Linked DNA regions of Diceros bicornis minor. The protein of the gene in region 4 purifies or fractionates together with the protein of the main gene of each other region. This does not show direct contact. Links are inferred from orthologs where the notes say so. Each region holds a gene or a part of one and is shown on either strand. Other genes may lie near its edges. The genes, in order: PIAS3, PTPN11, TRIM59 and STAT3.

The links.
Region 1: the proteins of STAT3 (region 4) and PIAS3 purify together in Homo sapiens (affinity purification with western blotting; 5 studies listed by BioGRID). This does not show direct contact. The link is inferred for Diceros bicornis minor from reciprocal best matches to the Homo sapiens genes STAT3 and PIAS3.
Region 2: the proteins of STAT3 (region 4) and PTPN11 purify together in Homo sapiens (affinity purification with western blotting; 3 studies listed by BioGRID). This does not show direct contact. The link is inferred for Diceros bicornis minor from reciprocal best matches to the Homo sapiens genes STAT3 and PTPN11.
Region 3: the proteins of STAT3 (region 4) and TRIM59 purify together in Homo sapiens (affinity purification with western blotting; 4 studies listed by BioGRID). This does not show direct contact. The link is inferred for Diceros bicornis minor from reciprocal best matches to the Homo sapiens genes STAT3 and TRIM59.

What each region holds. Positions count from the first base shown.
Region 1 is NC_080743.1:53,388,540-53,395,699, reverse strand, and holds the start of PIAS3 (E3 SUMO-protein ligase PIAS3), read left to right. Parts: upstream 1-4,143; 5' UTR 4,144-4,206; coding exon 4,207-4,230; intron 4,231-6,134; coding exon 6,135-6,552; intron 6,553-6,711; coding exon 6,712-6,796; intron 6,797-7,027; coding exon 7,028-7,078; intron 7,079-7,160. UniProt on the Homo sapiens protein: Functions as an E3-type small ubiquitin-like modifier (SUMO) ligase, stabilizing the interaction between UBE2I and the substrate, and as a SUMO-tethering factor.
Region 2 is NC_080774.1:10,559,131-10,566,165, reverse strand, and holds the start of PTPN11 (tyrosine-protein phosphatase non-receptor type 11), read right to left. Parts: upstream 3,012-7,035; 5' UTR 2,866-3,011; coding exon 2,852-2,865; intron 1-2,851. UniProt on the Homo sapiens protein: Acts downstream of various receptor and cytoplasmic protein tyrosine kinases to participate in the signal transduction from the cell surface to the nucleus. Positively regulates MAPK signal transduction pathway. Dephosphorylates GAB1, ARHGAP35 and EGFR.
Region 3 is NC_080754.1:66,345,699-66,353,424, forward strand, and holds the start of TRIM59 (tripartite motif-containing protein 59), read right to left. Parts: upstream 3,002-7,726; 5' UTR 2,923-3,001; intron 1-2,922. Other genes in the region: uncharacterized protein LOC131414636, read right to left, coding at 3,269-3,373, 3,788-4,323, 4,946-5,009. UniProt on the Homo sapiens protein: E3 ubiquitin ligase involved in different processes such as development and immune response. Serves as a negative regulator for innate immune signaling pathways by suppressing RLR-induced activation of IRF3/7 and NF-kappa-B via interaction with adapter ECSIT.
Region 4 is NC_080757.1:41,524,014-41,531,823, forward strand, and holds the start of STAT3 (signal transducer and activator of transcription 3), read right to left. Parts: upstream 3,013-7,810; 5' UTR 2,803-3,012; intron 1-2,802. UniProt on the Homo sapiens protein: Signal transducer and transcription activator that mediates cellular responses to interleukins, KITLG/SCF, LEP and other growth factors. Once activated, recruits coactivators, such as NCOA1 or MED1, to the promoter region of the target gene.

The DNA.
Region 1 (7,160 bases), on a different chromosome or scaffold from region 4:
TCAGCATGGATGAGACCAGAGGCAGTGTGGATGGAAGCCAGCGCTATGGAAAATAAAGCAGGAGGCAGGATGGTGCTGGGTGTTGTTTTTTCTGTCTAAAGGGCTGTGACGGAAGGAATCTTTTTCATTCCTCTTTGATCACAAATGGCCTCATAAGTCAGCAGCTTTCAAACTTTGATTATGACCCACAGTAAGAAATACATTTTGCATCCTGTGTACATACCTGAAATAATATTTACCCTTACTATTTCTATTCTATTCTATTCTCTGCTACTATGCTCCACCGAAAAAATATTGGTCACAATACATCCACTAATGGGTCAAGATCTACTTTGAAAAACAGCATTCCCACAGTTTGAAAAACAGCCCTCCGTTAAAGTGGGGATTGACACTCCTCTCTTTCTCAAATTTGTCTCATATTGACCAACACAGCTCTGATCTTTTTTCTCTACCTTGGGACTCCTGAGTCTACTATCTTTTTCAAGGAGAGATTGAGAGACCTGGTTTTTCTTCAGGATGTACAATCTAAAGTGTTCTATTATGTGTTAAACGATGTGTCTAGATTTGAGGCACATGGTTTCATGTGGTCAGTGTTCTTTGCCCCAGGTGCAAAGAGGGATGAAAAGTCTGATTCCTGGAAAAGGGATGAAGGGATATCAGAGTTGGCTTCTTCCCTCCAGTTCTGTTCTCACACTAAAAAAATGTATCTCTCTTGGCCACTTCCCCTGGGTCTCCTCCCCTTCCTGCCCCTCCACCAGCCAGACTGCTAGGTGAGAGTGAGGCAGTGAGTTTCTCCAAAATCTGTAATTGCGGTTTGGTGGCCCACACACTGATCCCTCCCCATTCCTTCTCTCAGCCCGCCCCCTGCTGGGTTATGCTGGGTCAGCCGGCAGTGGTTTGGCAGTAAAGAGACTGCTTTGAGAGAAGAATGGGGAGGGGCTGCTGTGGAAGGCAGGGGGCCACACAAGGTCTGCGGAGCCTGGTTCCAGGGTTTGGCCAGGAAAAAGAGCAGCTATGTAGATCAGGTCCTAGAGAAGATGAGGGTCAGCTTTGGGGTTTGTGTGGTTGGGCACAGGACTGCTTTAAGGCTGGGGGAATGGAGAGAGGAGGACTTGATGGAGAAAGGGAAGAGTGCAGCTGCCAGAGGAAGAGCATCAAAAAGGTCCAAGTCATTTCTGTTAAGGGGAACAGAACCTCTCTTTTCCTTCCTGTTCTTAGAGTTACCAAAGAATATAAAAGGACTGTTGCATGCCTGATTATATATGGAGTGTTGGGGGGAAAGAATGAAGAAACTGCCAAGAGAAGTGTCCAGAGAGGGGGAGATCATTTGGCTATGTTCAAGTATGAGTCAGGATACAGCTTTTGTAATGGAAGCCAGGGCTTTGGCTCCCTCTGGGGCCCCTGGAAGCTGATTCCAGGATGGCTGAGCTACGGGAATGGTCAGTGATGTTAATCTTAATAAAGGAGTGGAACCTTCCCCAGACCCTGGTCTTCCCAATCTCTCTCTATACAACCCCATACACTGTTACCCCAACAACGCTGAGCCCTGAAATTTTCCTTGATTTCATAAATAAATCTTTCTTTCCCAAAGTAACTCTAGTCCTAACGGTCCCCCCTTTCCTCCTGGGCTGTTTAATAGGACTTCAGTAGGAACTTATCACTCCTGTTTCACTTCCCCCTTGTTCCCCAGGCTTCAGACGTAGGAGTGCATGGGTGAAAGCAGGTGAAGCTTGGTCGGCCATGATGGGATTCAGACTATGTCTTCTAATGTCCTCCATCTGGAACTTGGCCCTGATTTGCAGTTTCCCTCCTTTATCTGGTAGGATTAACTTATTAAATTGATATTTAAAGAGTCTACTATGTGCCGGGTACTGGGGATAGAGTGAACAGCACAGAAAAGTTCTTGTCCTCCTGGAGCTTGCACGATTAGATTCAGGTGCCTGGGTTCCTAGTTTTCTGCTATCCCATAGGGATGCTAGAACTTATAACCTCAAATTAACTATTAAAGGAGATCCCTCCTTTATGAAATCGCTAGGAATCAAGGTGAGGTTGACTTTTTATTTTTACATTTTTACAGCTTTATTGGGGTATAATTGACACACAATATAAACTGCATATACTTACAGTGTACAATTTGATAAGCTTTGACATATGTATACACCCATAAAACCATCACACAATCAAGATAATGAACATATCCATCACCCCCAGAGTTCCCCTCTCTTTTTCATCCTCCTTAACCTCCTTTCCCCAAAACCACTGAAAACTCTAGAAAATACAAACTAGTCCACAATAACTTTTGATCTAGAGGACTATACAGAACAAAAAAGAAAATGAGCTCAGGGCCTGATTAAGACTCAAGTGTTGGAGGAATCACTTGGGATTTAGAACCAAATACTTGAGCTTGAGTTTATCTTGAGGTCCCACCAGTGCTGGCAGCAAAGCAGCAAGGAAAGAACCTGAGTGTCAGGAGAAGGTGGACATTTTCCCTACGGACAAAATCCACAAAGTAGTTGGGCATGGTTCAGTTCAACAGGTACCTGGGGATATTGGCAGGCTGGCACTTTTAGTTTTATGGTGTGAGTAGGGTCTCACGGGAAGGATTATACTGAAGGTTTAAGCTAAATGAGAGGATTATTCATATTATTTATTAAAGTACTCTTTTCCTATGCTGATTATAGGTTTAACTGTCTTGTCTGCTACTGTTAGACTGAGAGCTCCTGCATGGCTTTGATGTCCTCAGCACCCAACAATCTCTGAACAGCATTCCAATATTTATTGAACAAATGACATTATCATTTAGGTCCCAGCCAACTAACTATAAAATACTATGCGTTTTTCCAGGACCTAGTTTGGGTAAACTGCCCTAAAGTTGGTGCTTTCATGGCACCTGTATGTGAGCGATTAGCCTGGAAAACCTCCCTTCTGTTCACCTTCAGCTACACCAAGTGTGTGTGGTCTCTGGTGACGGTCTGTGTATTTGGGGTAGGAGGTGGCGGCCACAGGTAAAGTTGGGCTTAGGTACACTTCGGATTCTAGCAGCCCAGGCTGCTAGAAGTCTCTTTTCAAGTAGGAATCTCTTAATGTGGTCAGATCCCCGGTCCATACTGTCTTATCCGCAGCATGCCTCCGCCCCAAGCCCGTACACCAGCGTAAGGGGTCAGAGCGATAGTGAGAAGGACGAGATGCAAGAACGTCGTCTCCCCTGATCCACTCACTCGAGGAGTTAATCTCTCCAGCGACAGGTTCAGGGTCCCTCCCTCTCCCGCCCCAGACTCCGCCTCCTCCCCCCATCTTGGCGATCCCGGCGGGCTCACCCAGGAGGGGGCGGCCCCGGCCCGAGCGGTGGGCCGGGCGGAGCTCCCGCCAGGCGGAGCTCCGGCTGCAGCGTCCAGCTGCCGGACCAACCTCCAGCCCTTCAGACTGCGGGAGCGGCGCCGGGCCCCCTCCCCCCACATCCCCAGCCCACCCTCTGAGCCTCCTGAGCCCCCTCCCCGCTCCCTGCAACTGTGCTGGTAAGTCCCGCTCTCCGCACCAAACTTTTTCGCTGCCTGGTTTGAGTGCTGCGCTCGGACCACGAGCTACATTGTAGTGGGGGAGGAGGGGGGAGGGAGGACGAAGGATTGAGAATAGCCGTCTTGAAATGAACTATTCACGACTCCATAGCTTCCCTAAAATGGGTCAGATCTCACCCATTTCCCGAGTGGTAGAACTCTTGATTTTAGCTAGTTAAACTTGTAAAGAGGGAGATGAGGGTATTCGCTTTAACTTCGCTACCCCCTCCCCCATTTCTGAGATTTAGCAGTTCTCGATACTTTCCCTCCATATTTCAAGTATCTTTGGCTCCTTAAAAGCTCATCCCCTCCCAACTCTGGCGTGGCAAAGTCCCCCTCCCCCAGGCACTTCGGGTCCGCCTCCTCTCCATTACCCCCGGGAACCCCCCGATCTTTCGGGCCGTACCCTCCCTCCGGGTCTACGGGTCTTGCATACCGGCCAAAGACGTGCAGGGGCTGGGTCCGGCTGTGGAGGGAGGGGCTGAGGCCGGGGCTTGTCCGAAACCAGGCGGGCGGGGTCGGGAAGGGGAGGTGTAGGGGGCCGGACGGGGCGGAGCAGGCGGCATTTGCGGCCGGCGCCGGGGTGGAGAGTTGTGCGCCGGTCCCTGGGCCTGAGCTGGGGCTCGGGCTCCGGCTCCTGCGATGTCTCAAGATGGCGGAGCTGGGCGAATTAAAGGTACCGGCCCCCTCCCCCATCCCCATCTGGACTGAGCTCGGCGGTACGCCGAGTCAGGGAAGCGACTGAGACTGGGTGCTGAGGGCTCGGGTGCGGGCTGGAGACGTGGCGGGGACTGGCTGCTGGGGATGGGAAAGAAGTGGCTGTGGGCGAGGAAGGGGCTGCGGTGAAGCTCCGGGGGCGGGGCCGCGGGGCAGATGTAGGGGTGGGGCCGAGGGGAATTGCAGCTGTTGGGGGCCGAGGCGCAGGGGGCGGGGACACGGGGTAGGAGTCGGATTTGGTAGTAGGGGCAGATGTAGGGGTAGGGCTAGGGGGAAAAGCTCTGTAGTGGCATAGGGGGCCAAGAGATGCGACAGTAGGGGGGCAGATGTAGGGATGGAACTGGGAGGCAGATGTACGGGAGGCTCCTGGGGAAATGCAGCTGAGAGGATACAGTCTTTGGGGCTTCTATTGGGATCCGAGCCTTGGGAAGAACCAGTAGGCGGCTGAGATCCAGGGGGCGGGGCTGTGCGGGCAGATAGATCGAGGGGTGGGGCAGGAGCATCCTGGAGGCTGAGAGGAAGGTCCTGCCTTAGTGAGTCTTCGGGCAGGACAGAGGATAGAAAAGAGGGAAGTTCTTGGCAAAGCTAATGGAGAAATAAAGACAGTATAGAGGAAATAAGGATGGGGGGAAAGGTAGAGGAGCAAGTTTTTCATCACATTCCTCAAAGGGGGCCCAAAGGTATAATGCTTCCTATGAGGGGAAGAACTGTGGAGGGCTAACAAGGTCTGCCCGTGGCAGGGTCTCCTAGAGAATGACAGAAGGGAGTCCTTTAAAGAGAAAGCTTTTTGTGCCCTCCCACTATGAGGGCACAGAGTCTTGAGGGTGACCATATCCAAGGACATCTCATGGGACACCTCTTAAACCATTGGGTTCACCCCTCTGCCTCCTGCCTTTGTTCCACCTTTTGAAATGGAGCCACAGTCCTGGGCAGGTTGAGGTCTAGTCACTGGGCCCAGCTGCCTTTAGGAGAGCTCGAGATTCTGCACCCTGGCTCAGGGCCCACATATCTTCTCCTTATTCTCCCACGGCCTATGTTGAGAGCTTTGCCCTCTCCTCTTCCATCCCTATGGAGGAGGAGGATCGCTTATTTTCTCTATGTAGGAAAGAAGGAGATGGAGTAAACAGGTAGGATACCTGGACTTGGTGATTCACTGCTAACACTCTCCCTCGCCTCAAGTTTTGGTCTTGTTTCCCTCCCAGAAAAATGACACTGAGAAAGGATTTAGGGGAGGTATGAGCATTGAAGCCTGCCCTGGAAACCCTGGCCACAAAAGCTCCAGAGGCTTGGGGAAAATAGCTGAGGTAGATTGAGGTATTGGGAGGGGTGGGCTGTGAGGCACAATCCTCCAGCCACCTGGCCCCTTTCTTCCTTGTGGGACTGTCTGGCCTGAATCCTCTTCTCCCCCTCCTTCTCCTTGTCTCCTATCCTCTTCCCAGGAGTCTGGGATGGGTCTGGGAGTCTGAGAAAGAGCAGGAGAGGAGATAAGCAGCTTAAAGGAGAGTCCAGACTTGAGGCAGGGATGGAGGTAGGAGGCTGTAGTGGACTCAGAGGTGTGCCTGAGGGTGGCTTGCCATCTGCACCCTACATCCTGCCCCCACCTGGTCAACTTGCAGGCATGGGGAGATGGGGTTGCTCAAGCTCTAGGGGGTAGTGGTGAGGTTGACCTCAGGTTGCTAAAATGAGACTGAGATGTCCCTTTGGCCAGGTCGGCTGTCTGGCAGTAATCCACTGGCTGCAAAGCATCTTTCTGATCAGTACTGGAGGCAAAGAGGCATCGCCCACCTGGTAGCTCAGCCCCAGCATCTTTGACAGGACAGGCCTGTGCAAGGTAGGATTCTCAAGCTTCTCTGTTCTCCACAGCACATGGTGATGAGTTTCCGGGTGTCTGAGCTCCAGGTGCTCCTTGGCTTTGCTGGGCGGAACAAGAGTGGACGGAAGCACGAGCTCCTGGCCAAGGCCCTGCACCTCCTCAAGTCTAGCTGTGCCCCCAGCGTCCAGATGAAGATCAAAGAGCTTTACCGCCGACGCTTTCCCAGGAAGACTCTGGGGCCCTCTGATCTCTCCCTGCTCTCTCTGCCCCCTGGCACCCCTCCTGTAGGCTCTCCTGGTCCTCTAGCTCCCATTCCCCCAGCCCTCTTGGCCCCTGGCACCCTGCTGGGCCCCAAGCGTGAAGTGGACATGCACCCGCCTCTACCCCAGCCTGTGCACCCTGATGTCACCATGAAACCATTGCCTTTCTATGAAGTCTACGGGGAGCTCATCCGGCCCACCACCCTTGGTACGACTCTTTGTGGTGCCTCAGCTTTCCTGGGCTCCATGCCTCTTCCCCAAGCCTTTCTTAGGTTTTAGTCCTGTGGGATCAGCAACCTGGGATGGGGGCAAATTCTGTGGCTGCCTGAGCATGGGCTTGGGAATAACTGCCCCCTTGTGTCCTCAGCATCCACTTCTAGCCAGCGGTTTGAGGAAGCACACTTTACCTTTGCTCTCACACCCCAACAAGTGCAGCAGATTCTCACATCCAGGTACATCTCTTTCAGTCCTCCTGCCCCATCCTAGGGGGTTACCCTTGGACTCTGCTCTCTGACTCTTCTCTTCTGCCTTGCTCTCCTCCCTATCCATCCTCCTGTACCTGACTTGTCTCCTGTATGCCTCTTCTCTATCCCCTGGACATCTAACTTTCTGTGTCTCTGTCTGTTCACCCCTGCCCTCTGGGGTCACATACTGACATCTTTTCTTCTCCCTCCCTGTTATAGGGAGGTTCTGCCAGGAGCCAAATGCGATTATACCATACAGGTGCAGCTAAGGTGAGTTGATCCTCCCTCCTAGCCCTGCTGTGCTCCCATTGGGGGTCAAATGAAATAAGGGTATGACAGATACTCCTGGGAG
Region 2 (7,035 bases), on a different chromosome or scaffold from region 4:
AAATGAAAAGCCTCTTTTCTTCAAAAGAGATGGTTAAAAAAGTGAAAACACAAGCCACAGACTAAGAGAAAATATTTGCAATTCTGATAAAGGTCTTGTATCCACAAGAAAGAACTCTCAAATCTCAATAACAAGAAAACAAACAACTACATTAAAAAGGAGGAAAATATTTGATCAAATAGACATGTCACCAAAGAAGATATACAGATGGCAAATAAACACATGAAAAAATGATCAACATTATTAGTCACCAGAGAAAATACAAATTAAAACTATAATGAGATACCATGACATATGCAGTAAAATAGCTAAAATTTAAAAACTGACCATACCAAGTGTTGACAAAGATGTAGAGAAACTGTAACTCTCATATGCTGCTGGTGGGAATGCAAATGGTATAACCACTTTGGAAAACAGTTTGGCAATTTCTGAAAAAGTTAAATATACATCTAATATATGATCCAGCCATACCACTGATAGGTGTTTACCGAAAAGAAAAGAAAGTGTTTGTCCATACAAATATTTGTACACAAATGTTCAGAGCAGCTTTATTTGTAATAGCCAAACTCTAGAAACAATCCAAATGTCCATGAACAGGTGGATGGATAAACTGCGGTACATCCATACAATGGAATATTACTAAGCGATAAAAAGTAATGAACTATTTGACACACACTACAACATGAATGAATCTCAACATAATTACGCTGAGCATAAGAAGCCAGACACAAAATTCCATTTATATAAAATTCTAAGAAATGCAAACTAACATACAGTGACAGAAAGCAGAACAGTGGCTGCCTGACAACAAGGCAGGGATTATAAAGGCCCAAGGACACATCACAAGCCGTGATGGATATGTTCATTATCTTGATTGTGGTGACAGTTTCATGAGTGTATACATATGTCAAAACTTATCAAATTACACACCTAAACATATGCAACTTATGGCATGTCATTTATACCTCAATAAAGCTGGTTAAAAAAATAATAACACAGACCTACGATCTGAAAAATAATAATAAATAATTCCCAATTATGTGTGTTATGTGCATAATCTGACTTTTCAGGTAGCACACATTTCTCTTCTGTAATAGGTGAGTAAGAAACACCAGGGCTGGAGAGGAGGAAGAATTACTCTATTTCAAACTGTCATCTTTACCACTTGCTGCCTTGGCTATACCCACACTTCCCGGCCTATACACTAACAAGCTGGACAATGCAGGGTCTCTTACCACCCAGTCCCTTCCCTACCCAGCCCCCAGCCTTTCTGTCTCCTAAAGAAGCAGATCCTTACTTGTCTGGAAGAGCAGACACAAGGAACAAAAGGCTCAATGACTATTTGACAGATTAAAGAATAGACAACTGTTTTATTTAAAAACTCCCTAAAGAATTAGAACATTTGAGGCTATACACTGTTCTGCTGAAATGCAGTTATATATTACCCAGATCTGTAAGCACTTGCCAACAGACCTGTCCAAGTCACTCACGTCCTAAGAGTTTTCAGTTTTCTTTTTTCTCCCTCTTTTCATTCCAGTTTCACGAATGAATAACGTGCAGGTATATCCTGAGAAGACATACCTAACATTTTGAAAAGTCTCTCATTCAAATAACCCCAATAGCTTGAAATAGTTTTTCAAATGTCTAATATAGTGACCGTCACAGGACAATTAAGGAAAAGATTAAACAATGGGTCTTATGTGTGAATCTTATATAAAGAGTAGGACACAAAACAGCAGGATCATTATCGGAAAACAATACGTCACGCTACCGTTGAACAACAAAATTAAGGCCTACAAATGATTAGCAATAGTTATAAAAGAATAATAGCAATATGGTGATTAACAGCGGGGATTCTGGCCCCACCACTTATTGGCTGAGTGATCTTAGGCAAGTTGCCTAACTTCTGAAACTCAGTTTATGCATCTTTAGAACGGAGACGTTAGTACCTACCTCAAACGGTTATTGTGAGGATTAAATGTGTTTGGCTTACTGTGAGAGCTAAATCAGTGTTGGCTATTAGTGGTATTATTACCCTGCACTTGCAAAAGATCTCATTAATTCGCTAATCCTCCTTATGACTCAGAGTCAAGTCCTGTCATTTACTAGCATGTTATTGCTGAGCCTCAGTTTCCACATCCGTAAATCGGGGGTGATTAATGTTACCTGACTTTTAAGGTTGTGGTGAAGGATTCAATAACCAGAGATACAGCTCCCTTCCCTCCCATCTCTCAAAGCGAACAGTGCAGAGGAAGGAAATACTTCTAATAGCTGCAGATACAGTCAGTTTTTCCATTTCTGGCACGTGAGGGGTGGGGGGAAGGAGATGCAAAGAGGCACATAAAGGGGCCAGGGATGCTGAGCGAAGCCCCCAAAAGCGCGCGACCAGCAGAGCGACGCCGAGCAGCCCGACCGCCGGGGCCGGGCCCCGCGCCACTCCCTCCTCTTCCCTCCCGCGTCCCGGGCCGAGGAGCCTCCCCAAGCGAGTGGGGTTATTTCGGAATCACCATGAGGCAATTCTCATGAGGCAATGGGTCAGGAATGCGGCGCCGAGCCGGGCCGCTGGCGCCCGCCGTTCCCGCGGCGGCTCTACCTGGCCCCGTCCTGCCGGGCATCCCCCGGGCTGCGGGAGCCGGAACTCGGGGAGGCAGGAAATGAATGGGAACCCGAGGGGTGGGGGCGCGGCGGGCGCAGGCCCCCGGCCCCGGGAGGGCGCGGACGTCGGGAGGGGCCCGCCCGCTGACCCCAGGCGCGGGCCGAAGCCCGGCCGGGGCGCCCCCTCCCGGGCGGGGCTGACCGCAGGCGGCGGGGGCCGGGCCGAGGCCGCGCCGGGCCCCTCGGGGCTCCTCACCTCCGCGATGTCATGTTCCTCCCGCCCTCCGGCTCCGCGACGGACCCGCTCCTTGCTCAGGCTCCGCTGGGCCCGGTCACATCGGGCTGGCCCGAGGGAGGCCCGCTCGGGACCGGACGGGGGGCAGAGCCAGCCGGCCGCGCGCAGACCCCCCTCCAGGCCTGGGGATCCCGGAGACTGTGCAGCCGCCCCCCGAGTCCCGTTCGCTCCTCCTCCTCCCCCGCCCCTCGCCGCCGGCGCCACTCTGACGTCACCCCGTGCGACGCCCGCCGCCACTTCCTGCTTCCAGTCCGCCGGGGACTGAGCGGCGGCTGGTGATGGCAGTCCGGTGGCTCGGTGGGGCCGCCGCCGCGCAGTTCCCAAAGCACCTCGACGTCCTCCTTTAGACCTTGGCCGCAGGGCGTGCGCCGCGCGCTCAGTGCTGTACGCGCTCCCGGGAACCCATGCCTCCGCTTCCGCCGTGTCAGTTTCCATCCCCGACTGCCAAACCGAATTTCATTCATTTCATTCCACACATCGCCGCTCTGCTTCCTGGCTGTGTAACCTTGGGAAAGTTGCCTAATTTCTCTGAGCCTCAGTTTCATCCATTCCTTCATTTCTGTAAAATAAAGATAGTAATTGTATTTTCTTCGTAGGATTGTGGGAATTAAATATGTAAAATTCTTAGAACTAGGCCTGGCCTGTTTAGTAAGTGCTTTGTAATTGTTCGCTGTCTTTTCATTACAATTAAACATCTGTTGATTGTTTGCTATCTGCTAAGCACTGTTTTAGATTATGGGGATATGAACAGAAAAGACAAAAATCCCGTGCCTGTGTTCTCGAGGGAGGAGCTACAGTAATCAAGATAAGTAAAATACTCAAGATAATACTCGTACCCTCCTTTCTTGTCTTTTCTCCATAGCCCTTTATATTATCGTTTTCATTAGGGTAGTTAGGGAAGGCTTCACTGAGGATGACGTTTGAGTAAAGAACTGACGCTGGAGCAATCTATGGGAATAACTCGAGGGAATAGCATTTCAAGCACAGGGAGAGAGAAGTGCAAAGGCCCTGAGGCAGGAGGCTGCCTCCTGTACTATTTGAAGAACAATGAAGGGATCTCTAGCTAAAGCACAGTAGAAAGTGGGAGGGGTGAAGGGAGAGTAGCAGGAGATGAGGTGAGAAAGGGGTAGAGATAGTATAGAGTCCTATAGGCTATTTAAATGAACAGTAAAATGGAAAGCCATTGAAAGATTTTCAGCAGAGGAGGACTATAATCTATGTTTTAAAATTATTATTTTAGATATTCTCTAAGGAATCAGATCAAGAGGGCAAGGCTGGAAACAGACCAGTTTGGAATACTAGAATTCTGTAATATTCCAGGCTGGAGATGATGGTGGCTCCACCCAGAATGAGAAGGTAGAGTTTTTACTTGATGAAGGCCCATGTGACTCATTAAAGGTCACAGATCTAGTAAGTGGCAGAGTCAGAATTGGAACCTACATCTATGTGGCTCCAAAACCCTCATTTTTTCCTCCCAGTGCTCTCCAGCTCACTTCTGATAAATAAATGGCAAGCAATAGGACATATTGGAGTATATGAGGAAGCCATTTGGTGTAAAACTAATTTGGCCTGACCTTGTTTTTCCAAAAAGGCCTGATGTGGCTTTTGAACATGCATTGTATATCTGCTTTAAGCATTTACCACGTCCCGAAGACAAGAACAAATGCCCTTAAGATAAGGATGTAACTTCCCCCACATTGGTATTTCCTTAAGGATAAGCTTTTCTCCCTAGGCTAGGATTTGATTGCTGTCCTCATCTTGTGACCACCCAACTTGAGACAACAGACCTGGTACCTGCTGTGCCCATCAAGACAGCAGACCTGATGCCTGCTGTGTCCATCAATCGCTGTGCCAACAGGACAATCTTGTGATTATTGTAAAGGGACATCGCAATCATATGTGATACATGCTCTTTGACCGTGTATAACTGCTCCGTACACCCCACTTCTTTGGTGCCCTTCCTTCCTTGGGGAAGGAAGGCCCCGGGCTATGTGGTCCTCAAATCTGGCTCATAATAAACTCACCCCAATTTTGATTTATAGATTGATTATGGATTATTTGCATTGACACTTCTATATGAAGAACTCACATGCAGTGTGCTAACTGCTTTAGCCTTGTTACAAAAAAATCCTTACAAAAATTGTCTTTAATATATGCCAATTTAATTTAGGTAATAGGCATTCAACGAACAGTTGCCCAGGCTGTTTCCTTCCATTCCTCCTAAATCCCGGCCACCTAGATGACTCAAAGAAAATCCTAAAGGATTTTAGCCTGCACGCTTGCCCTCTCCAATCCATTCTCCACATAATAGCCAGGGTAATCTAAAATGCGGAACTAGTCACTCCCTACATTGCATATACTTCAATGGCTTCTCATTGCTTTTAGGATGAAGTCAAAAAACTTTTTAACAACCACCTGATCTGGTTCCTGCTCACTTCACCAACCCCACTCTCCCCACCGCTATGACCCAGTCATGCTGAATGACTTTCAGTTGTTCTCAATATGCCATGCCCTTTCCCAGCTCAGGGTCTTTAAACAATCTGCTCCCCCTCCCTAGAGAGTACTATGTGACCCCCCCCTCCCCATGAACTCTAGTCTACGCAGATCTCAAACTAGAAGTCATCTCCTCTGGGATAGGAAGACTTACCTGATTCTCCCAGTCTAGGTTAAGATGGTCCCCAAGACACCTATCCTGGCTTAGAAGTGAACACACTTCATTATAAATCTAAGACACAGTATCATGTGGGGGATAAGTTCTTGATCTCCAAAACTCAGCCTGCCTGCCTGGTTGTCCCCAGGTAAGTGACTTGACTCCTCTGTGTCTCAATTTCCTTCTCCGTGAAATGGAGGGGTGAAAATACTACCTACAACATAGGGTAAGTTGTGAAGAATAAAAGGGTTAATGATTGTGAAGTATTTAGAACAATGCCTGGCAAAGTAAGCACTTGGTAAATGCTGGTTATCATTTGTCTCTTTTCCAAAGTAAGCTGTAAGCTCTTTGAATACAGAAACTGAAGCCACGTACCTGATGGTTACTGTAGCTATTCAATAAGAACATGATTGCCTTTTGACCTTGTTCCCAACACAGACATAGATGATTTTTGTCAATTTGCTCTTTTCTTGTTTAACTTGAGGAGTGACTGATTTGTGAGTTTGTTTTGCAGAAGAAAGAGAATGCCTTCAGGGAGGTTGCAATCTCCAGACAGCCGGCCCCCAGCAGCCATTGCAGATTGTCTTGGGGCTTATCTGGAGTGACCTGTTTGTTTCTCCAAAGCTCCTCCTGGCAAGCCCATTAGCTCTATAAAAACTCCCCTCTTTTTGCTCTGATTAAGGCAGATTTGAGCAAACCGGTGCTCCCACCTTCTCATCTTGGCCAACTCAAATGGGGCCTTTCTCCATCTCCAAGCCCGATATCTCAGTCAGTGTTTGTCTTGCTGTGCATCAGGCATATGAATTTGAGATTAAGAGGTTCAGTATCAAAACCATTGCTTCCCCTGTCTTTCCTATAGTCTATACACTCTGCAGCTAGAATGATCTTTCTAGAATACAAATCTAATCATGTCCTTCTCCTGTTCTATGAGGGAGGTTCAAAGCCTTTAGCACTAAATGAAAATCCTTCCATTAGCACATCTGGCCCTTCTAAATACGAACCATGTCTACCTGTTCAGCTTCATTTATCCCCACTTCCTCACATAATCTGGCAGTTTCCAAAGGCCTCTAGCTGTTTCTTGCATCCCTGTATTCCAAAATTTAGTTCCTTCTGTCTGGAATGCACTTTAAACCCATCTCCAAATGGAAAAGTAAGTGTCAAGCAAGATATAGCTCCAACTCAATCAACTTGTGCAGTAAACATTCTCTGCACACACCCCTTGACCACTTCCTGAGAATAAAATAGAGCCCTCCTCTCTATGCTTTGCGGGCTGCCTGTTCATGCCTCTATTGGTCGGCAACACGGTTCAACATCATTGTTGATTGACTGTTCTGCCTCTTCCCTTAGATTATGAGCTCCTTTTAAAACAAAGTCACTGTCTTCTTCATCTTTACATGCCCAGAGCCTAGCACACTGCCTGGCATAGAATAAGCTTAAGAAATATTCATTTAGGGCCGGCCCTTGGCTTAGCGGTTAAGTGCGCACGCTCCGCTAC
Region 3 (7,726 bases), on a different chromosome or scaffold from region 4:
TAAAGGTTTCCAAATCCTCCTCTATAAAACTAACTTTTAAGATCAAAAGTTTGAGAAGAGATCTACAAATAACTAATTGTACCTTTAATAAACATAAAAACCTCTTTAGGATCTTTTCGAATTCCATGTCTATTCGGACAAGGGAAACAAAAGAAAAAATAAACAAGGGGGACCTCATCAGATTAAAGAGCTTCTACAAGGCAAATGAAACCAGGATCAAAATGAATAGACAACCAACCAGCTGGGAGAAAATATTTGCAAACCATATATCCAACAAGGGGTTAACTTCCATAATATATAAAGAACTCACACAACTGAACAACAAAAAAACAAACAACCCAATCAAAAAATGGGCAGACACTTCTCCAAAGAAGAGATACAGATGGCCAACAAGCACATGAAAAGATGCTCGACATCACTAATCATCAGGGAAATGCAAATCAAAACCACACTAAGATATCACCTTACACCTGTTAGAATGACTACAATCACCAAGACAAAAAACAATAAATGTTGGAGAGGTTGTGGAGAAACGGGAACCAATTCACTGCTGGTGGAAATGCAAACTGGCACAACCTCTATGGAAGACAGTTTGGAGATTCCTCAAAAAATAAAAAACAGAAATACTTTATGGTCCAGCTATCCCACTACTGGGTATCTACCCAACGAACCTGAAATCAACAACCCAAAGAGGCTTCTGCACCCCTATATTCATTGCAGCATTATTCACTATAGCCAAGATGTGGATGCAACCCAAGTGTCTGATGACTGATGATTGGATCAAGAAGATGTGGGGTGTGTGTGTGTGTGTGTGTATATATATATATATATATATATATATACACACACACACCATGGAATACTACTCAGCCATAAAAAAGACAAAATTGTCCCATTTGCAACAACATGGATGGACCTGGAGGGTATTATATTAAGCAAAATAAGCCAGAAAGAGAAAGACAAACAACGCATGATTTCATGATCACCACATGTGGAAGATTAACACACGGACAGAGAGAACAGTTTGGTGGTTACCAGGGGCAAGGGGGTTGGGGGGTGGACACAAGAGGTGAAGGGATGCATTTATATGGTGACTGACAAATAATAACGTAGAACTAAAATTTCACAATGTTATAAAATATTAAGGCATCAATTAGGGAAAAAAAAACACCATTTAGACTTTTTAGCTCTATGCTCCTTATCTTCACCATTTGCAAAACCAAACTCTTATTCATTCTTCAAGTCTCAATTTGAGCCCCGCCTCCTCCCCAGATTAGGTCCCCTGTTAATCTGCACTTCTACTTCATAGCACTTAACTGGATTTTATTTAAAAGAATTCTGTAATACTTTTCTATACATTACAATGTGTGAGTCTGCAATAGGGCAGGAATTGTCTAAAACTTTAAAATTTTTTAAGTGTCTTGCCTATTATCCAGCCTTTCCTCTGCCAAATTAATTTTAGAATCAATTTATATTATTTTACACTTTTAAGAAGTAAAATAAAAGTAACCCGTGTAAACTGTTATTTTCCTCCAGTGAGTACTAAAAGCCCAAGTAAAAATTGATAACTTAGTTCAAGGCTTTCTGCTTCCCTTTTAAAAGTCACTAAGATACATGAATATAAAAAATAAATCTTTTCAGAAAGAAACCTGAAGCTAAATCATCTACTTGTAAATTATTTCACAAATTTCTTGTTTTCAAGTGTCAAAAACAAACACACTTCTGAATTTGTAAACTTTTTATGCAGTTTCTCCAGAGGGCTGATTTCCTGTGGAGCCTCCACAATGTCTAACCAGCATATTATGGATGGTCAGCGCTAATAATAGATGATGGAGAATGAAGCAGTACCAAAAATATCCTTACCCGTTCTCCTGTGTAAACTATTTTTTAAGTTTTAATTCACTAATGTGGTATTGCCTTTCATCTCTAAACATCAATGATTATAACACATTCATTACATTTTACAACTTCTGAAAAGAAATTACATTGACCACATTATAGAGTTGGATGGCTTGCTCTTGGACTTACAGTGTGAGTCAGCTCTAAGTCTGGGAAAATTCAAGAGGTGCCAACAGCCAGACTGGGGCTCACATCTTTGTGGCCCTAACTGATAAAACGCACATTTCATACAATTCAAGACTTACTTTAGAAATACTACAACTGTGCTACATATATATACATAGGGCAAGATTTTAAAAATACTTTTGTACATATAAATATAAAAAAATAATGAAGGATCACCATAACTCTTTCAAATTAAAAAAAAAAAAAAATCCTAAGGTCAGATCTGATTTTAACTGTGCCCGTTTGTACTATTTTCCTGCATTTTGACATCAACCTGTTTTCCCAAACCAAAAAAGAAACTATTAATGCAATTTAACAAGGAACTGAAATGAGAAGTTAAGGTTTTCATTGCTTTTGTTTATACTTTTCAAAGTGAAAATATATCTGGTGGAAAACATTCAGCAATATGTTTGCTGAAAGGCAATGTTCAAAGTAACATTACCTAAAATCAAAATTTCACCTTGCCAGAGCAGTTAAATTATGGTACCTTACTTCAAAGGACAGCTACTTGATCATTAAAACAGAACACATATCAATATCTAAATACATAATAACAAGGTGTCCAGATAACTTAATAAATGCAATTTAAAGATCTGTATGTATAAAATGAGACCGTGTATTAAGATGCACACATCCTTGTAAAATTTCTAAAAGAGTATACAAGAGTTAACGACTTAAAGGTCAGAAGAGGGAGTTGTTTTTCACTTTATGCTCCTTTTATATGGTTTGAATTTTATACAACACCAACGTACATCTTTTTTCAAAAGATTTAAAAATTTCACTTACAGTTTAAATCATACACTCAGTAAAAATTTACTGAAGATTTCTTTCATATTCACTTAGTCTCCCAGAGCTTACCTACTTTGTTGATCTTCTAGCTTGGAGACTGAATATTCTTTAGCTTCTCCAGCTTTTTCAATTCTAATTCTAAAATTAAAACAATTTTACCTTAATGTTTTAGATTTACATCCTCAAAAAATATATTAAATACGATATCACAGGAATGGTTCTTTCACTGTCTTTGACAGTTACCTTCTTTACACCTCAGTGCTTTTAGAAAAGTACTGACAAATATCACCAGTTGTTGGAGCAGCAGGACAGGTATCACTCGTACCTTGAAAATCCCAACAATTCTGTGACCAAATCAATTGTCACAAAGGACCTCTTTTTATAGCGTCCAGTGTCTCCTGAGCTCTCGACAATATTAGTCAACAATGGGGATGAGGGAGCAAACGTTCGTGGTCATTTCAGATTGCTTCAAGTTAAGTGGAAGACAAGAAGCCTCCACAGGAGTCCAAGATTTTGCCAGCTTAAAATTATAAATATTAACTTAGGTTATTCCCATCAATACGTCTGTTCATCTCTCAGTTCCGCCACGTAAACGCCGTGGGACCCTGGGTCAGTTCTCCCTGCTGCCTCTCAGCACGTGTGACGTGGCACAATCACACCTCCTCCCGCGAAGCCCCGAGAGCCCCTCTCGAAGGAGAGCCTCCCCTTCCCCAGGGTCGACGACGACACCCGGGCCGCCGCCGGACGCGCCTCCCCCGCGAGCCCGCGGCCGCCCGGCCTCTGGAGGCCCGCTCGCCCCTCCCCGCTACGGCGGGCTGCTCCCCGGAAAGGCAGTGCCACCTGAGGGAGGACAAGTCCCCTCTGGGACAAGAGGGAGCGGGTCAGGACCTAAGCCCACCTCCGCCTCGCGACCCTCGACTCCCTGCAAACACACCCTGTATGCCTGCCTGTGCTCCGGGGAAGAGGCACCCAGAGCCGTCTTCTCCTCCTCGGCCTCAACACGGGGAGGGCCGCCCGCACGGAAACCGAGCTCCCCGCTTCCCGGGCACGCGGAGACACGCTCGGCGGCCGCGCCCTCCGCCCTCAGGGACTTCAGGCGTGCAGACCGGGCGGGGCCTCGCGGGTCTGAGGGCGCAGGCGCAGTCTCCGCGCAACATTCAACTGCCCAGCATTGGCCAATGGGAAAGTGCGGGACCGCGGTTCGAAAGTAAACGGTCGGCTGCGCCCGCCAGGGCGGGGCGTGATCGCGAGGACTCTGCGCGAGACTCCGGCAGCGTTCTGCGCCTGCGCCCTGGGTGCCTGCCCCTCTCCGAAGGCCCGAGGCGCGCTGCAGAGGCCGGGTTTTGGCGGCCGCGCCCCAGGGCGGGTCTCTCCTGGGGCGGCGGCCGACGTTCCCCACGAAGAAGGCCCCTAGAAGCCAGGCCGCATGTTGTGATGCTGGACTTCGAAGCGCAGTGTTTCCGTTGTCCCCTCACAGTCCCCGCGCCGGCAGTCTCCGCCCGCCCGCGGCGCGAGCACCCAGCGGGCGAGCTCGACCTCCTCTGAGGCGAGCGGCCTCCGCGCGGAGAGGCAGGGACCTGGGCGCCCGACCCCGGAGCGTCCCCTGGTGCTTCCGGAGAACCGGCTCCGCGAGCTGGCGGAGCGAGGACCCCTCAGGACGGTCTCCTGCTCCTCCTTGCCTCCCGTTGGTCCCGCTTTATGAAGTGGTTGCCCAGAGAGGACGCGACTGGGGCACAGAATTCCTGACTTCCAGTTCAGTTTCTCCACTGAGTTCCTATTTCACCTTCTTAACCCCCTAGAATCAGGAAACATACAGTTCAGTAGTCCTTTTCCCTTTTTTTCTTGAGAGGCTTTCTCCAGCGCGATCTCAAGGCGCTCCCCTCACAGCTTCCCCTGCCTCTAAAGGTCGCCTGCCGCCGTGCTAAATCGTCTGTGAGCCCTGGGGGACTGCGTGGTGCGGGTGCGTCCAGGTCTTAGGCTCTTATACAGTAAAATACAGGAAGCACATCAAACACAGTATGAAACAGAAATTAAGGTAATATCAGTGAGTCCTGAGCCAATCTCAAATGTCTTCACCAACTCAGCTACTGACGAGGTTGCTTATCATGTGTGGATTCCAGCGCTATGCGCACTGTTGTGTGGTGGTACATGCTCATTTCGACTTTTTTTATGCACGTACATTTTCTATTTTTAGAGTCATCCTGATAAACAGCTTCTTAACTTCCTGTCAGAACAATATGATGTGAATATCTTTCCATAGCAATAAATGCACTATACGTCTATAGAATTATTCTTTTAAGAAACAACACAATGGTAACTAACCATGGACTCTGGATGATTATGATGTGTTAATGTAGGTTCGTCACTTGCAACAAATGTACCACTCTGGTGGGGGACGTTGATAATGCGGGAGCTGAATGTTTGGAAGAAGCAGAAAAAGAGAAGTATGATAGCCCCAAGGTAGAAATTACTCAGGTCCTGGTGGAGGGAAGCTATGACACCAAAAAAGAGGGCCTACATCTGTGGCTCCAGGGAGACTGCTTTAGTGGCCCATGGGTTCCCAACTCTGCCAAAGATTTCTGTAACCCAGCATGACCAGGAAGTAGCAGAGAGCTACAGGAGCCTACAAAACCAATGGCAGTCAACTTGACATACTGAGTTTGTGGACTGTGATTCAGGCACTCTCCAGAAGACCACGTTGGCCTGGAAAGGTTGGACAAAGAAGTAACACTCAGACACAGAAGTACGTGGTTAAAACCATAAGCTTAAAAATCTGAGGTGCTAAGGTGCTCAGCTACCCAAAAAAAGGTGAGGAGAGGGAAGTTCAGCTGCTTTGGGTCTCTGCCTATATGCCTGCACCAATCTCCTTTTGAAAGAAAGTAGGAAAAGGTTAAAAAATGATAAACCTTTGCAGTTATTAACAGGTTATATGAACAGGAGGCAATAAAACATGAATTTTAGGACAACCTTTGGGTGCTCAGGTCAGGCTCCCTGCTTAGACATCTTCTATCTCAAGCCCCCAAACAGTCACAGTCACAGAGAAGTGCCCTGTAGGCAAGCTAACTTTCTGATTTGGAGTTCTAATAGCTACAGAGTTTAAGCACCCTCCTGTTGTCTCCCATCACGTTGGCCTCATCAGAATTATAATAAAGAGAACACATGACTTTCCAAAGTTAAAGGCACCTGTGGTTTATTTCTAGGACTTCAAAGAAAACACAGCCGAGACTGCCGCCATGATTACAGTGGCAGTGAATCAAGGACAGTGAGCTAGGAGAATCTGCCTGACAGTTCATAGGTCATTTTACCTGGGAAAAAAGCACCCAGCTTGGGGGCCGGCCTGGTGGCGTAGTCATTAAGTTCATGTGCTCGCTTTGGCAGCCCAGGGTTCAGGGGGCCAGACCCCAGCGCAGACCTACACACCGCTCATCAAGCCACGCTGTGGCAACGTCCAGCATACAAGATAGAGGAAGATTGGCACAGATGTTAGCTCAGGGACAATCTTCTTTACTAAAAAAAAAAAAAGAGCACCCAGCTATATGATGCAATAGAGTTCACAGACTCAGGGATTTGGACTTGGAAGAGATCTTAGAGGCAACCTAGAAAAATTTCATTTTCAGAGAAGAAAAACCTACCAACCATATTGGTGTTGCCTTAAACTGAGTTTGAGCCCAAATTTGATATTAGTACCTATACAGTCTTAAGCACTAGAACATATTATATAGAATTTATTTTCACACAGCATTTTTCAGCTGTATCTCTGAATGCAACTTGGAAGACTAAAAGAATGTCTTCTGCTCAGTAGTAGTTTACCTCCTAACTAGTTTCCCTTTCATTTACTGTCTCTCGTTAAGAATCATTTTATTTCAAATGCCACTAACTTTTTTTTCTGGCCACTAGCTTTTTTTTTTTTTTTTTAGTGAGGAAGATTAGCCCTGAGCTAACATCGGTTGCCAATCCGCCTCCTTTTGCTGAGGAAAATTGGCCCTGGGCTAACATCTGTGTCCATCTTCCTCTATTTTTTTTTTTTTTATGTGTGGGACGCCTGCCACAGCATGGCTTGATAAGCAGTGTGTGGGTCTGCGCCCGGGATCTGAACCTGCGAACCCCAGGCCAACGAAGTGGAGCGTGCGAATTTAACCACTATGCCACCAGGCTGGCCCCATCCACTAGCTTCTTTAAATGCTCAATTTTGTGGGTGGCTGTTACCTTAAATAAATTTGGGGAATCTCTTGATTCAGGCAGTTAATATGCAATTTTCTAGGACATTCTGTTTGTAATTGTTATGCCATCATCACATTTATTTTAATTATCTAAACATTTTGAATTTCAAGAATTTTTTCTTATAAATCATAAAATTTTGATTTTGATAGTCTTGTGTGATTCTCTAATCCATTTCAGCACAGCAATATTATTTATTTGTCTAATAAATGGACAGCATGAAAGTTACAGAGAACACAGATCTTGTACTTGAGTTGCTTATCTCAGTGAGCTGATGTACAGGTATAGCACAGCTAAATGGTAATGTCAGGTAACTACAGTCTAGAGGGATTGCACTGCAAACTGACTGTGCAGCAAACTGGGAAAAGTAGGTCAGATCTGAAGCTGTGGAGTTCCCCAGGTTGCTGCTGACTGGTGACCGGACAGTTGGAGCTGCTCATGGGTGATCTTCACCTGCTCTAGGGTGTGTGGAGGGGTTTCTATTGTAAATACAAAGCAGAGTGGCTGCCCACCTCACAGTTAGAAGCCCATTAGTCATATCTGTTCTACACCCTTTCAGATGATGATCTCTGTCTCCTATACTCAGAATGGTGGGATTTGTGGCAAGCAACACAAGTCTGGGATTGACTAATGCCTTCCCAACCCTGGCTGGCAT
Region 4 (7,810 bases):
TAGTGCAGCACTGTCCAAGAGAACTTTCTATGATAACAGAAACGTTCTATATCTATGCTATATGTTTTTAATATATAATAGCTACTTTGTTGGACAGTGCAGGCTAATGTCTCACCATCTCTCTGAGGACATGTTGCATTGTATGGATAAAGCATTTATCAAGTTGCCTCAGTAGACTGCAAGTTCTGTGAACCTTTAAGGCATCTTATTCTTCATAGCAACTTTCACAAAGATGCAAAAAGTAAATATTTGTTAATTTGTACACTACCTCTGAAAAAGCCATAAGATAAAAAGGTGCTGGACTCAGCAGCTGGAGTGATGGTCCCTACCTCTGCCCCACTTCACATCTGAATGTCAAGACACTCAGAGGCAGGGAGAAGACAGCAACTTTCTGGAGACACAAATGACCACTGATCAAGCCACAAGGCACTTTGGTTTAAGGGACATTTAGGTCACGACCATCCTTCACCTACAAGCTTGCCTAAATAAATATCTCTTTCCATTAGCAAATAGCTAAATTCTGATGGTAAATTATGCCAACTAAAAAGTTAGTCACTTCCAGGGGCCAGCCCCGTGGCATAGCAGTTAAGTGCGCGCACTTCACTGTTGGCGGCCTGGGTTCGGATCCCCAGCGCCCACCAACACACCGCTTGTCAGGCCATGCTGTGGCGGCAACCCACATAAAGTGGAGGAAGATGGGCACAGATGTTAGCTCAGGGCCAGTCTTCCTCAGCAAAAAGAGGAGGACTGACATGGATGTTAGCTCAGGGTTGATCCTCTCCACAAAAAAAATAAAAAATAATCATTAAAAAAATAACAATAAGAATAAAAAAAGTTAGTCACTTCCCATGTTAGTCATAGCAGTTAGACAGAAAAATAACCTAAGCAAACCCGATTTGTACTTCTTTTTTTACCTGTTTATTAACTATCACCCTTGGAGTCTTACAACCTATTGGTAGTATTTCACTGTCTAGGTATATGTTAGAATTTCAGTAACACTTTTCCCAGCAGGGCCTACACTCACTCTAAATCAAGACCTAATACTTAAGCATAGATAGTCAAAGAACACAAAAGATACAGAAGGGATGAGTTCTACCACTACGGCACTCTGCTACCTTGGGCAAGGGTCTTTTTCCTTTGTTCTCAATTTCCTTATTACCAAAACGGGGTTGACGTTATATGAACCATTTACCTTTTGTGGGTCAAGTCATAACTGGATAGTTCTAAATAGTTATTCTTCCCAAAAGAACTACATATAAAAGTAAAATATTCATGAATTTGCTAGTGGTTCTTTGTGGGGGATGTGCTAACAAATATAGAAGCTAAGATCAGCCCTCCAACATCTACAACAATTTTTTTTTGTATTGCAGACTTCTTCCTCCCATCCCACTATACAAATGTGTAAGCAAAAATTCTGCTACTACTCCAGTCTGGCACATGTAATAAGGAAATAACCTTTGACTCAGGGAACACACACATTTAATATAAAATAAAATAGAAAATTGGCAGAATCAAGTCATAACAGTCTAAATTCACATATAAAAGACTGAGATGATTTACTGTTCTGATTTCTTGAAATCAATGCTTTATCAGCACAGTCAGCCCCAAAGTTACATCCCATACACAGAATAAATATACCCTTTAGATGCACACACAATAAAAACCAGCAGGTACGTTAGATACATTTTTAATAAGAAAAAGTGTGTCAACACCATACACCCATTTGATACAACACAGAGGGATGTATGTGTACTACACATGGAGAAGCAACTTGGGTGACGGTTGGAATTTTATTAACTTAAGCCCAACCACACCCCCAAACACAGGTAAAGTTTGCACACATGGCTTTGCCAAGGCCAGCCTGTCTTTGTTTCCCTCTCCTCTGCGTTTACCCAAGATCTTGGCTCTGAGACAGAAAACTCCCACTCTCGATTGGTTCATTCTGTCCTATTCAATTAAGCAATACCACAATCCCGTAAACGCAAGGGCTCAATTATTTATCTTCTGGCTGAATGTACCAGGTGTTTATAAAAGAACAATGTCAAGGAGGAAAGAGGTTTATTTCTCTCTAGAGCTGGCTTGATGGGGGTTTTATTATGTTTTTTCAGAAGGAGTAGGAGGGAAGCACGGTTTAACCTAGAAAAAGACGGGAGGGAATTTAGAAAGAGTACGAGACTGTCAATTTCCCTACAGGAAACTCGATTCTTATGCAATAATCCTACGCACAACCAACCAGCCTGTGAGGCTGTAAGGGAAGACACCTATTCCCACCTCCAGAGCGGCAGAGCTGGCTCCTAAGGAGCGGGAACAGGGCAAGGCGGAGGAAGTGGCTCAGCCGGGAGCCGCCAGGCCCGCCGGGGGACAGGAGGAGGCTCTTTCCAACCCCCCCTCCCGGTGATCTCCGCGGCGTGACAGTCGCTCCTGTGGCCGGAACGTCCCCAGAGCCCCAGGGAGCAGGAAGTCGGGGGGCTGTCCCTCACTCCTGCCACCCCCACCCCAGGTGCCCTCGCCCCAAGGTACTCCCCCTCCAGCCCGTTCTCCCTCTTCCTCGGCGTCCCCCCTTTCTCCAAAGAACGAAACTTCCTTCCAGTGCCCCCTGTCCCTTCAGAGGCCCGCTCCTGTCATCCCGGGGAGTTGTCCCTTCAGAGCGACCCTCCGTGTCCCCTCGTAATCCCCCGCTCCGCTGAAGTTTCCATCCACAGCTCCCCCAAACACCCGAGAGGCTTCCGGCCCCTCCGGTATCCCCGGGGTCCCCAGGTCTGGGGGCCGTCGGGGGGCGGCCCCACCCTTCACCTCCTTCACCTGTTTCACGGGCTGAGGCCCGACAGGCCGGGGCTGCGCTTGCGCCGGGGTTAGGCCGCGGGTCTCCCTCAGGCCTTGGGGCCTCTCCTAGCAGACGCGGAGAGAGAGGGCCGTGCTGGGGCGCTCGTCAAGGATCCGGTTCGGGCTCACTCTCTCCGCGGCGACGTCGGAACCCCAGGCTCCCCCTCCCGGTCTACGCCGCCGCGGCTCCGGAAACCACTGAATTACAGCCCCTCCAGCCAATCCCCGCCCAGCCCCAGCCTGGCCGGGACAAGCCGCTGCTGCATAATTCATGAGACGGCCAGTTTTCTCGGCCACCCAGAGGCCCTAGTGCGTGTGCGGGACACCCAAAGCCCCACCCACCGACCAATGAGGAGAGCCTCTGGTTGAAAGGGCGGAGCCAAGACAAGGCTGGGAACGCCCCTATGCTGGCTGTTCCGAAGGCTTACTGCTCCTCCCTCCGCAACAACAGGGAAGAGCAGAGGCTTTGGGCGCAGAAGCCCGGGGGGAGGGAGGGAAGATGACCGGAATGTCCTGCTGAAAACTCAGCTGAGTTCCTGGCAGTGCGTGACGTCAAGACACTTTAAATGCCCCTGATGCGGCTCTCTTCTGCCTGCTCTCCCTTCTCCCGGCACTGAACACCACGTGGGGGCGAGGTTGGGAGCCACTTACCACGTGGGAATCAGCCAGTTAGACAGTCCCCAGGTATCGCCAGATCCTCAGGGGGCCCAACGCCTGAACTGGGTTTCTGGGGACAGCAAAAAGAATATGGGTGACTCCTGCCTGCTTTGAACTTCAGTTTCTGCGTGAGTTGGGACACACACACCCGGAAACATGACGTGGAAATAGAGTAATTACTAGAGTGCGTGGGGAGAGGGTAGTGGATTTAACCCTGTCCTCCGTTCCGTCGCTTCAAGCATCAAACGCCAACGGCTCGCACAGTGGCCAGTTCAGGAGAATGCAGAAAACAGTACATATGAAGATTGACACGTAGACACGCTATTTTTATGCGTCTGAGTTGAAATAGTTGAAATTGCCTGCCTTTTTCTTTTTCGTCTCATCTCCTCTACTTCAAATGCAAGTTTTACTGCATTAAAGCTAGTAGTTTATAGGAAATGTAGACATTTTACCTTACATAACAGAGGATGTACTTTGCATAATGGAGAGATTTGTATGTGTGCTGACGCTCTCAGAGTTTTTAAAAAATAATAGCTATTAGTATTTGTTGTGTTTGTTTGATATAAAGAGGTATAAAGATGAAATCTAAAAAGGGCCCATTATCTCACCACCCAGACAACCCCTGATGGCAGTTTTTTCAATGAAACTAACACATGGTAGTGGTTAGAAAATTCAAACACATCAGAAAAGTCGAAAATTGAAAATGAAAATCTTCGCCCTTCTCCTACCAGTCCTTCTCCCCTAGGATAGCTATTCTTATTAATTGCTGGTGAGAAAATCAATGACCCTTAACCTGTGGGGGGTCACAGATCCTTCTCAGTCTGCTGGAGACTACAGATTTTAGCCTCAGAATTATACAGCATGAGCTTTTGCTCACAAAATCTCATGGTTCCCCAGACACCTGAAGCCCGGCCAAAGACTCCAGATTTGGACCTTTGGACCACCTCATGTCCAAGCGACAGGTGAGAGCATCTATAGGACAATTGGTGGGGTCACTGGTGGTGGGATTGAGAGTTTCCAATTGCCCTCCTGTAGACCCAGCCCAACGTGGAAAACGCAAAACGCTGTATTTGTCTGTAGTGTGTGTGTGTGTCTGTGTGTGTGTTTGTGTGTATTGATCGCTGTGCTTATCTTTGTCTTCACCCCAGGGCAGATATCCCCCACCTTCCACTTCACCTAAACTCTGCTTTAGCTGTGCTATTCCATGCAGTTGACTGCCTCCCTAATAGCATTGGGTCTAATATTTGTTTAGTTATTTACTGCTTACAAAGCACTTACATACTCATCACCTCTTTTCTTTCTCACAACAATTATGTGTAGCAGATAGGAGAGGCCATATTATTTACTGATAGGAAACGAAGGCCACAATAGTATGACAATCTCAAGATCATGGAGATGCTCAGAAGTATCCCAGGTGGGTTCAGAGGCAGGTTTTTGGACTCTGCATCCCATAACTTTGTTCCATCCACTCAAACCCTGCCCTCCTCCCCTGACTCCTCAGCAGCTGGCCTTTGTTTCCCTCACTGCCCTGCCTCACATTCACACATGAAATCTACCCCTGAGTCCATCTGTTCCACCTACAAAACCTTGCTCCAGCCCAGCCAGTGGCCTTTCTCTACACTCTACCAAGTGTGGCATAAAGACAGCAGGTTTCTTGAGCCAATGTTTTGACCTGAACTCCCTTTTCCAGCCTCAACCCCTCCATCCCACACACCTTATACTCCCACACTGAATTTATCACCTTTCTCCAAACATGTCGACACCTATAACTTCATGCCTTTGCAGATCTTCTTCCCTTCACCCAGAATATCTTCTCTTTCCTCATTCCCTGCCCGAAAACTCTTACTCATTCTTCAAAGCCCAATTCCAACCTCACCTCCTCTGGGCTTTCTGAGATTACTCCTGACAAAGTTAATCTCTTCTGCTGGACTCCTTTAGCAGGTTGCTTCCCCATCTAGTAGAGCATTTTCCACGTTGGACTGTAATATATCCATTTATTAGCCTACTTCCTGATAAATGAAATTAATAATTAACATTTATTAAGTAATTACCATGTTCCAGGAACAGTGCTAAGCTTTTTATATAGATTATCTCATTTGATCCTCCTGAGAACTCAGTGAGGTAGGTTCTATTATAATTCTCATTTTCAACTGAGGAAACTATGGCTGAGAAAGTAAAAAAGACTGGTCTAAGTTCCCACAGCTAGAAACTACGGGCAAACTCAGAATGAGAATTGGTTCTGGCTGACTCCAAATCCTGGACTCTCTGCCCACATGCTTGAAAACATCTCCCCCTAAGCTTTAGGTTCCTGGAAGCTTGAATCCCTTCATAGTCATTTTCACAATCCCAGCGTCTAGCCCAGAACTCACCTAAGATTGAGTTAATTAAATAGTAATAAACACGTATTGAATAATCATATCAGCAATAGTTAACACTCATTGAGTGTTTACTATGTATTATGTAACTCATCTATTAATTCATTTAATCCTTGCAATAAACCCATGAGAATACTGTGATTTTACAGATGAAGAAAATGAGACTTACCCAAGGTTGAGTGACTTACCCAAGAACACAGAGCTGATAAATGGCAGAGCCAGGATTCAAATCCAAGTGTGTCTAATTCGAGGCCTGAATAGCTGCTCTTCCTTGGCTATATCTCCAGACCTAACCTTCCTCTTGGATCCCCAAGGAAAGGTGTAAAGGAGGGGAAAAGGTGAGGTCCCCACTCTCCACTCATCAATCAAGTGAATAAAGACAGAGTGCAGAAGCCCTGTGAGTTTACGGTGGTTTATAAACATGTTCACAAATTCTTTGACACTTCTCCCATCTAAAGGTAGAGTCTAATTCCACTCCCTGAGTGGCTTACTTCTAATAAATAGAATACAGCGGAAATGATGCTGCCATGACTTCTGAAGTCAGGTCATAAAAGGCAATGCAGCTTCTACCTAATTCTTTCTCTTGGGACACTCACCTTTGGAACTCAGCCACCATGTTGTGAGGAAGCCCAAGCTGTATGTAGAGCTCATACGAAGGTGTTCTGGCCAACAGTCCAGCTAGGGCCCAGCTGACAGCAAGCATCAACTGTGAGTGAGCCAGCCTCCAGATGATTCCAGCCCCAGCTTTCAAGCCAGCCTAATGGAGGCCAAATGGAGCAGAGATGAGCCAATTTTGTTGAGCCTTACCCAGATTACAAATTCATAAGCAAAACAAATGTTGTCATTGTTTTAAGCCACTCTGTTGGGGGTTTGTTACACAGCAATACATAACCAGGATAGGTTTCCATTATCACCTCAGAGAGACTCAGGACTGTAGGGGTTAGATCAGGAACTGAGACTGATCAGACTTTATTAAGTTCTAGAAAATTTTTATTTACTCTCTCTTCCCTGGAGGAATTAGCAGTAAAACTCTAAATCAAGAAGAGGGCATGGCAAGGAAGAGAAGATTTGGAGAAGAACCTTGGTGGCAGTAAATGGTGGCAAGTCACTGCAGTGACCAGAGAGGGCAAGGGACAACTTTCGTGGGTGATGGGAGCCCCCATGGGGGCAAAGCAACAGAAAGGCTTACACAGTGCTGCCCAGCTCCCCCTCACTAAAATCACAGAGAAGAGCAGATCTGTGCAACGTGAACTCCTTGGACCTCTACTTTCTCTGCAAAAACTCACTTCTCAGACATCATCATGCATCTCTCTTTCCTCCTGTCTGAAGAGCAGTCCTCCCTACTCAATATTTTCAAGGCTAAGCTCTTTTCTGTGCTGCCTAAAACATCATTCATATCATGACATTCTGTTCCTTCAGTGACTTCTCATGGCGGGGGCTGGCCCGGTGGCATGGTTAAGTTCCTGTGCTCCGCTTCAGCGGCCCAGGGTTTGCTGGTTCAGATCTGGGCCTGGACCTATGCACCACTCGTCAAGCCATGCTGTGGCAGAGTCCCATATACAGAATAGAGGAATAGTGGCACAGATGTTAGCTCAGCAACAATCTTCCTCAAGCAAAAAGAGGAAGATCGGCAGCAGACGTTAGGTCAGCGCCACTCTTCCTCACCAAAAAAAAAAAAAAAAAGTGACTTTCCATGGGGTTTGGGATAAAGGAGTTCTCCTTTTTCTTATCCCTTTCAAGGCCCTGCCTACCCCACCAACCTCCTTCCTATCTACTAAATTCCAGCCAGTCTATTTCCCACCTCAGGGCCTTTGCATATACCATTCTTTTTCCTTCTCCAGCTTTGGCATCACTGGTTCCTTCTCACCCTTCTGGTCTCACCTGCTCAGAGAGGCCTTGTCTACCTACTCCCACCTAAAGTTGCTCACAGCCTGTTAGTCTCTATCTCTATATGC